Linked DNA regions of Drosophila melanogaster. The protein of the gene in region 2 interacts with the protein of the main gene of each other region in a pairwise test. Each region holds a gene or a part of one and is shown on either strand. Other genes may lie near its edges.

Region 1 (3,979 bases), on a different chromosome or scaffold from region 2:
TCCGCAATCTCGCCACTAGGAAAAATATCATAGCAGCTTCAAAAGGAAAAATATTGGATACCATTTTGAATTTTAGAAATTTGTCATGATTATAAATATCACAGAAAATAAGTTTTAAACTCCTTTTCTAAACCAAATTTTGGAATAAATAATATGACTAGCGCCTTGGTTACCTATTTTGAATTATTGTACCCAGCTTTGCTTGCAGTGTATCACCACCCGTAATCAAATACAAAGCCCCAGGGGCCGAAAGGCTTTACCAGTCCATAAGAACATTTTTTGTTTCCGCTAAAATGATGATATGATACACGGGGGAGTTCAAAAAAGGAGACAAGCGGCCAATGAAAAAAAAAAACGCATTCAAGTCATGTAATTTCGGAACTTCCTTTGATATTGTACATTTGTTGGTGCTTTGCATGCGCTAGGTGCAAATTGGGTTTTTTCCAATTTCATTTTATATACCCACGGCGTCATGAAGCCACCCATATTTATTGCATAATTTTCAGCATAGCTTCCCGCGCACACACATTGCGAACATTGATTGTGGAAATAACTACGGCCAGTTGTGACTTTTACCAACTAGCGTACAACTAGATTGCCAGATTTTCTCGGGCGTGTTACATTTCAAATTGTATTGTATTGTATTGTATGTATTCAAATTATCAAATAAATTAATTTTATGAACCAAATTCCACATGCTGCTAAAACATCACATACGTTTGATATTCTATTTTTAACAAAAATAACCTTTATTTACGTATGAAGTTCATTCTTACAACTATGAATACGCTATCCGTTAGCGTTTAAGCTAGTATTACTGATTATAAGGGATTATATCTGGAAATAAGACAGTATACTCTACTGAATTTGATTGCGTCAGTGAGCTTGAATTCGGATCTCGTTCCCGCCCCCCTGCTCGGCCACCATTTCCACCTTCATGCTCTCGGCCAGCATTACGGCGTTCTGGTGCAGTTTGGTCTCCTCGTGCTGGCGCATGTGATGCAGCAGACGGAAGTCCTTGTTGCAATAATCGCAGCGGTACAGTTTGATGTCCGAGTGGATGAGCTCGTGCTTGGTCAGGGAGTGAGCGTAGGCAAACGCTTTGTCGCACACCTTGCACACGTAGGGCTTGATGCCACGGTGAACACTGATCGGAAAAAGAAAAGTTAGTTATCTCTGTCCCGAACTAGGAATATATTTAAATGGCCCATTTTGAGGCCTCTCCGTGAGAATAACATTTCTACTCACTTTTCATGAGACTTGAGAACACTTTCGTAGAAGAATTGACGACTGCAGAAGCTGCACTTATAGGGTTTGCTGCCCGTGTGGGAGTACATGTGCTTCCTCAGTTGCTCGCGCACCTGGAACTTGGCATCGCATAGTCTGTGAAGGCGGGATTAGGGTTATCGCTTTAATATGAAATTTACCGACTCGACTTACTCGCATGCATATTGGCAGATGCCGTCATGGCGTCTGCGATGCTCCATCATCCGGCCGCGCTTTTCGTAAAAGTTTCCGCAGACGTCGCAGATATAGCCACCCTTCTCAGTGCCGTCCGATGTTGTTAGGGAGTTTAATCCGCGACGAACCCGGCCGCGCCGCGCCTTCAGGCTTGCCTTGGCCGCCTCCTGCAGCGCCAACTGCTGCGATGGTGTCTCTTCGTACTGCTTCTCAGACTCCAGGACGATCTCGGTCTGATCGGAGTTCATCTCGATGGTGTAGTTGTCCTCCAAGTACTCGATGGTGTCGCCAATGCACTCCTGCTGATCGCTGGTGTCCACTTCCAAGTACTCCTCGTGCCCCTTTTCTTCCTGGTGCTCCTCTTCCCCGGTGGTGGTCTCCTCCAGGATGTACATCTCCTCGTCGCATTGCTGCTGCGAGCCGTCCTCCTCCTTGATCATCATCACATCTGATTCGTCCAGCAAGCCCAGTTCCCGGCAGTACTCCTCAATCTCCATCTGCTTGCGCAGCGCCTTCTCGCGAAACTGGTAGGCCATGTTGAGTTCGACCTTGCAGGACTTGCAGATGCCATCGGGTATGTGTTCTCTGTCGTTCAGCTGCATGAGGGATGGATGGATGAATGGTCAGTTCGCATTGCCAGCTCTAGCGATTCACTTACATTGCTGTATGAGACTCCCAAAAGTTGAATCAACATCTCGTTCGGCGATTCCTCGCCTTCCTCGCGGATCTCGTCTAGGCGCTGCAGTCGCTCACTCTGCGCCAGGCAGACCCGGCACGTCTGTGGGGTAAGCTCGACGCGCATTCTGGAATCCTGCTCGAAATTTAATTTAAAGAACCGCTCGCGTAGTATTGTAGTGTTAAAATTTGTGTTGCTAAAGTGTTGTGTAAAGCGACTGAAAAAAGAAACGAAAAGACATCGCCATTTTCCTTACCAGGGCTGCATAGCATCGGCGAACACGATGTGGTTCATTTTGCTGGTTCCGGGAAGCGGATTTTTGGTTAAATATCTGATAAACATGTTTGCTGCTTGTGACAATACATTGGAAATATTTGTTCCTTTAACCATGGCTAAACGATATGATATGATAACTGAAAGTATTCCCCAGTGTGCCTATAAACACAAACAACTTGTAAAATGAGAAAGAAAATATTAATACTTCAAATATTCAAATATTATGAAAACAATTATATATATATTTATATATTTCTTTCATATTTACGTATATTTAGATAGAGTAAAGAATTCAATCATAAAAATACCAACGTCTTACATTAAATATTATTTAAAAAAAGGCCTAATGCGCTTAAATTTGCCTTATCAATAGAAAATATTATGTCCAATACTGACAATACATCTCACCAAAGATTTAATTTAGCTAGGAACCAGTTCTCTATGGCTCATTTTTTTGACCAGTGGCGATAACGATGACAGCAAGATCACTAAAAGACTAGCGTTGCATGTTTATCATATACAAGCTAACATTGCGTAAGGTGAATCTGCAAATTATATACAAATTATTAGTAATTTACTCATTTATTTATGCGAAATCGCAAATACAACACCGTGTTTACATCCGAAAGCTCTGGCAAAAAAAGCACATTTCTTAATGCAGCCGTCTGGCAACGCCACATATTTTTCGAGACGCAGAACGCAAGATATTTTCTTATCTCTCGTTAAAAAATGGATTATTTCGGTTCAATCGGTGCGTATCTGGGAAAATCGCATGCTCGTTGGCAGTAAAGAACGCCACGCACTTTCACGTCCCACGCCCAGCGCACTCCCGCCTGACGGGAAAATGGGAAAGCAACTATATCTGGCATCCGTATCTTCGTCCGTCGCAGCCGTCAAAATGTTCGTCGCGCCAGTTATCGACTCGGCAATCTCCATCTCCTAAGGCACACACACACTCAATAGAACGCAGTCCAGCACTCACACAGGCAGCCACCTACGTAACCTGGCAGCGGAAGCGCCCTTAATCTTGGCCAGAAACCACAGCAGGCAGAAAACAACGAGGGAGCAGCAGCAGGCGGAGGGAAACGGAGGCGCCGCTAGCACTAGCACCTAACATGTCCGAGAAGCACGGCCAGCTGGGTGCGCAGTGGACGAAATCAGCGGCGCCAGCAGCAACAACAGCACCAGTCTCCAATTCCATTCCCATACCTCAACCGATCCCTGTGGCACTACCCCTCCAGAAACCCAACGCCAATCCCTATGGGAACTGCAGCCTACAGCCCGCGGATATAGTCTACAGCGCAACCAGATTTCAAGGACCTGCTATCCATGCAAAGGGCTCTCCTTTGACCATTACGCCCGTGGGCCCTGTCGGCGGAGCACCTGCCTCTGCCCAGATCTCGCCCACGAGTCACACCCATGTACCTGTACCTGTAGCCACGCCCAGCGGCTTTGTGCCGCCTCCGTTTTCCAATGCCACCAGCGCCAGTGGAGGTGTCTCCACTTCCGTACTTACTCCGAATCCCTTTGCCACGGCGAGTGCAAATGCTGCTGGCCTGGCCTTTG
Region 2 (5,011 bases):
CGAAGTTTGGAGCCACAGGTGCATTTCAAGCCCATACTTCAACGATTCAAGTTGAGCTGGGCGATCCGACGCCCAGTTGTCAATCAAGCGGAGCAGCAGAACCAACTGACGAACGTGCTGAGAATTTTCCATCAATTTCTACGCGATGGGAACTTCGAACTTTCTATGTGCTTGTATCCAAAATATCCGCACACAGTGAGAAATTTTTTTTTTGGTACATATTATTAGGGTGCTTAAACAAATTTGTGAAATCTTAAAACTATGAATTGGATTTAATGAAAATGATTTGCAGTGAGTGAATTATGTATGTGAATATGTGTATTGTTTATTATATTGATAAAAATCAATTTTTCCTCTGCATGTGAAACACTTGAAAGTATCGCACAGGCAACGAGATAACCATGAGAACACTTTATATATGGGCCTTTGTCGCGTGAGTGCCACTTGTCGTGTTTTTGTTGCTACCGCTGTAGCTGCAGTTGCTGTTGCACATGTTGTTGTTATAGTTGTTGTTATTGTCTGTGCCCCCTTTTTGTTGCTGCGCTCGTTTTCTCGCTGTTCTCATTCTAAACAATGCAAATGCAGCGTCAGCGGCTCTGCCAGCAACATTAGCATAAATAAATAAATAACCGTACTGGCAACGAGCGGGTAAATAACAAAATAGCAACACGGCCAGCAGACCGACCACAGCCAGTAACATTAATCTACGCTCCAAAAGCTTTCCGATAGACGTTCCATGGGCTTTTATCCTCCTCGCATTTTACGAGTATAGCAGACACCCAAAACACTTGTTTGCCTTCGTCGCCTAGCGGCGCTTGCACTTCGAAGACTGGGCGCGGTACAAGGGATCGCCTAGAAACGCCCACACACGAACTAGTGCAAGTACAGTGGTAATATGATATGGAGAAATGCCCGATTAAAAGTGTATAAAATATTTTTTTTAATTTTAAAACAAATTTTGCACTACCATGGGCGTTAATCTTTCTTTGTTTTAATATTTCTAAATTAAATAATAAATATTAAACATTAACATTAACATATTAAATATTAACATGAAACGTCGTATACTGCCACTTGACAAGGAAGATAATTTCAAAAATATTTGATTATTCCAAATTGTACATTCCATTTAATAATCTAATTTGGATATATATGTATATTGTATATTTTGAACTGAGTCACATACCAAATTTGACCACCCATTTTAGTTGTTTTGCGACCAATGTGCCTAGGCCGCCGATTACAAAAGCAACACCTTCGCCTTCACCGTAAAATGGGCCTCCCCTGCGTGTTTCACATGTGTCGCATGTGACTACCGTGGATTTTGCAGCCGCTTCTGCCGGCAATCAAATTGAGTGCAAAGCTCGGTTAAAAGCCGAGTATTCAAGTATTCGAGTGTTCGGACAGCAGAAGAGGTGTGATGTTTGATGGGTGTGTGTGTATGTGTGCAGCGAATGCAAAAACAGTTTCGATTTTTTTTTCAATTTTTCCACCTTCTGTTTTTGTCTCGATTCGGTGGGGCCCCAACTTATTGCATTATTTATGTACGAGTAGTACGATTTTTCTGGGTTCCCCAGTAAGCCACACGCACACGGTCCGCACCAGAAAATTGTATAAACAAAACGCGGAAAGCAACAAAAAAAAAAAAACGTTAAAATAAAAAAAAAAACAGTATAAGTATCAGTAGCGGTGACAATCGCAAGTGCAGGGCTCTCTCTCTGTCTCAAGTCTTGAGTCTCAAGTCGAGGAGTCTACTGCTCACACTCACTCAAAGTTTGCCGAGGTGGAGAAACAAACTCGGCGGCATTCTCAGTCAAACAACAAACGCAACTGAAGTAACAACGGTTCCGTACCGCGTACCGCCCCCAAAACAAAAGTGAAATTCTATTAGCTACCCGCCGTCTTGGCCAATCCGCCCAGGAATATCGCAGTGCTTAGCCATTCGCGAAAGTTATGGTATTTGATTCCGTTGAAAATCGGACTGAGTGCTGTGCTTAATGTTCCAGCTGCGCCGGGAAGTGTGGAGCGAGCGGTTGGGAGTCTGGGTGCAGCGCGTCCTCGTCATCGTCCTGCATCTGTGGCACCGCTCCAGTATGTCCTTTGTCCGGCGTCGCCAGGAGGCGTTCAAGTGGATTAGGCGCCGACTGGCCAGAAGGCAGTGTCACGTGAGTACACCGAAAGAAATAGGGTAGTAGCAACGTGACCACATCATTTAGCCACTTCTAAAGCCATTAAACTGATATACTTAATCTCAGTTGCTACAGAATTTAATGGGCTTTGAAATGAGATCATTGGTGAACAAATAAATATATAGACTTGACTGGATAGAGTCAATGTGGAAATAGAATAGCTATGTATTTAGGGTATTCTCTTGAAGTAGTTGCTCAATTTATCAATTACGAAAGCCAATGAGCGAGTGTTATTCGAATTTCAATATTTTAAGGCTGCTTTAGACATTACTAAACAGCTGTTTACTACTTTTTTAATAGCCAGCTTTAACAGAATATTAACGAAGTTGCATAGCCAAAATGAAATTGACACTGATCACAGGAGTACCATTAATCTACAAGAACAACTTAATAAATAGAAGCATCTGTGTAGTCATTAATATTATTCGCAAAAAGTGACTTTTTTCATTACCTTAGTACTTAGCACTTTCTAGAGTCAATAAAGTCAGTGCTCTATTATACAGGCCGGCAAAATAAGTTTTGTATTTTATCAAGGTATGCCTAATTACTAACCCTGAACATGTTTTTGTCCCTTTTCTGACTATCCAATTAGAGTTATGTATTTATTACCCAACTTAGATCATCCTGCACTAGATCCCCAAGTGGGTCATCACTCCAGCTCACAACCTTTAGATTTTAGCTGGAATTCAATTAAAAGTTATTCAGCCAGGCTGCAAATTCAATTAACTACAATCATTTCGGGCATTCGGTGCAATTTTTAGCTAATTCTGGTTTTCCTGCGAATCGGGGCACAGCCGGCTGCTGAAGAAGGGTTAGAAAAGTTTAGCACTCGCGTGACTCGCTATAATTTCTCCATCGGAGTTGCTGGTTTGAATTGGTCTGAGCCCAAGTTGGCCACTGTCTGAGGCTTTGTTCCGTTTCCGCTTTCCGCCCGCTCTGCCTGGATGGGTGTGTCCATCGACCTGGCGGAGACATAGGCTTGGTTCTATATAATTCCATCCCCTGGCAGTCGGGAAAACTCCCCAACAACCCCCCAACTATTTTAGCCCGCCAAACAGTTGGCGTTGAGCGATTATGGCTGTCAGCTTGAAAGGCACTTTCAGCCTGTTATCAATTCAAACAAACGCCAAAATGCCACAAATGTGAAAACCGACCGACAGTCGAGGAGCCGCTAAGAGGCCTCCAAATTGTGCAAATCAAATTGAATGCCGTTTTATGAAAGTTGAGTTGACTTTGCCGGTGATTTTTGGCAATTATCTGTAGCTGGCATTTGTGCGATTTCGAAATTTTTGTGTTTGTAACAATGCGGATCTCAAACAGAGCACGTAGGGGTTAAGCTGAACGCCCATGGCATATTAAAAAGTTTTCTAATATTTAGGCTGCAAACTGATATAAACCAATAGACTGCAAAATGGGTGATTTATTTTTATGTTACTGGTCTGAAGGGAAACTGAATTTTCAAATAGCTGAAATGCGGCAATTGCATGCATAAAGTTAATTGTAAAATTCTAAAATATTATAATGCATATGATTAACGTAAATTAGAAAACTATTTGTAAAGGGCATATGATATATGATATACGTAGTCATTAAGCCCGGAATCAAATCACGAACTAGTGAATCACAAAAAGCTTAGGAATTAATTGATTTTAATTGACTGCGGAAATATTGATACTCTTACTCACAACCCAATTTGCTGTGCAACTTTATTCTAATGCCCGTTCGCATTCGCAAGTGGAATATATGGCAGACCCACCGGGAAGAGCACTTAATAGTTATATTTATGGGCCATCGGTGGAGCCCATATATTGTTTATCCCGCTGGCAAATGTTTATTCGCACCACTTGAAGTTTCAGCGACTGCTCAGATTTTTTTTTCGTGAAACCAGAGCGAAGTAAACACTCATCGCGTGTTCCGGATAACGCAATCGCATGGGGATCTCGAAGCCAGGAACCAAAGGAATCCCGAGCTCGTTAGCGTTCCAGGGTAAGCCTGCGTCTGGCATCGTAAACAAATGCCCGTCAAAAGGCATTCAGCTAAACACCGACAAAGTAGCAAACAAAATATATGTGGACAGCCAGCCCTTCATTTTGTATATACATATGTATAATATGGGAACTTGCCAAGTTCAAGGCAGGAGTTGAAGATGTCTATATATGATGCATTGTATCCACAATTATGGCAGAGGGATGGGCATGAAACACGGGCGGCGGCTATTCAGCGGGGCAAACAATAACATTGTGCATAAAACAGAACTCAGTCCCCAGTCGGAAATGCTGACTAAATGGAAGTGAAAGATACTGTACTATAAGATACTCTATGAACTGGGAAGAGAAGTATTAACTATACAAATACATAAAGATAAAAAATTTAGTTATGATAATGAAGACGTAGCAGTAATGCCAGGGATTTTACTACATAAAATAGAACATAGTCCAGTTTTTGTTTAATTTTTTAATCATTTTCCTTGCATAACCAAGCAATCTTGCAGCCCGCAATAATTGGGCATTGATCTGCATAATACTTTGGTTATTTATATGTATATTTTTTGAGTTGTCGAAAGTCCAAACAATTAGATTGAAAAGCAACGTTCTCGGAAATGTATGTAAATGTATTCCTTCGCTGATTGTATTCTAATGCAATCGGTGACCAAGCGCACGTCAAAGTGGAGATATCCCTATCCACATCCACTATAAATCACCGATAATTGTGGGTGTGCTGTGTTTATTGTTGTTGCTGCCATTGATGTTCCGCGAGCGTTTTTCTGCCGGCCAACGAGCGGTTGAGTCAGCTGAGCTGAAGTAAACTGAACTGGGCTCGAT

Evidence for each region. Proteins that work in one complex are often made in the same cells at the same time.
Region 1: the proteins of Pura (region 2) and Zif interact in a two-hybrid assay, tested with the Drosophila melanogaster proteins (one large-scale study listed by BioGRID).

What each region holds. Positions count from the first base shown.
Region 1 is NT_033777.3:6,455,571-6,459,549, reverse strand, and holds Zif (Zinc-finger protein), read right to left. Parts: upstream 2,463-3,979; 5' UTR 2,394-2,462; exon of another isoform or gene 2,334-2,393; 5' UTR 2,264-2,333; coding exon 2,120-2,263; intron 2,058-2,119; coding exon 1,441-2,057; intron 1,384-1,440; coding exon 1,249-1,383; intron 1,148-1,248; coding exon 877-1,147; 3' UTR 728-876; downstream 1-727. Other genes in the region: CG9727 (uncharacterized protein), read left to right, coding at 3,529-3,979.
Region 2 is NT_037436.4:7,591,281-7,596,291, forward strand, and holds the start of Pura (Puratrophin-1-like), read left to right. Parts: upstream 1-1,810; 5' UTR 1,811-1,997; coding exon 1,998-2,165; intron 2,166-5,011.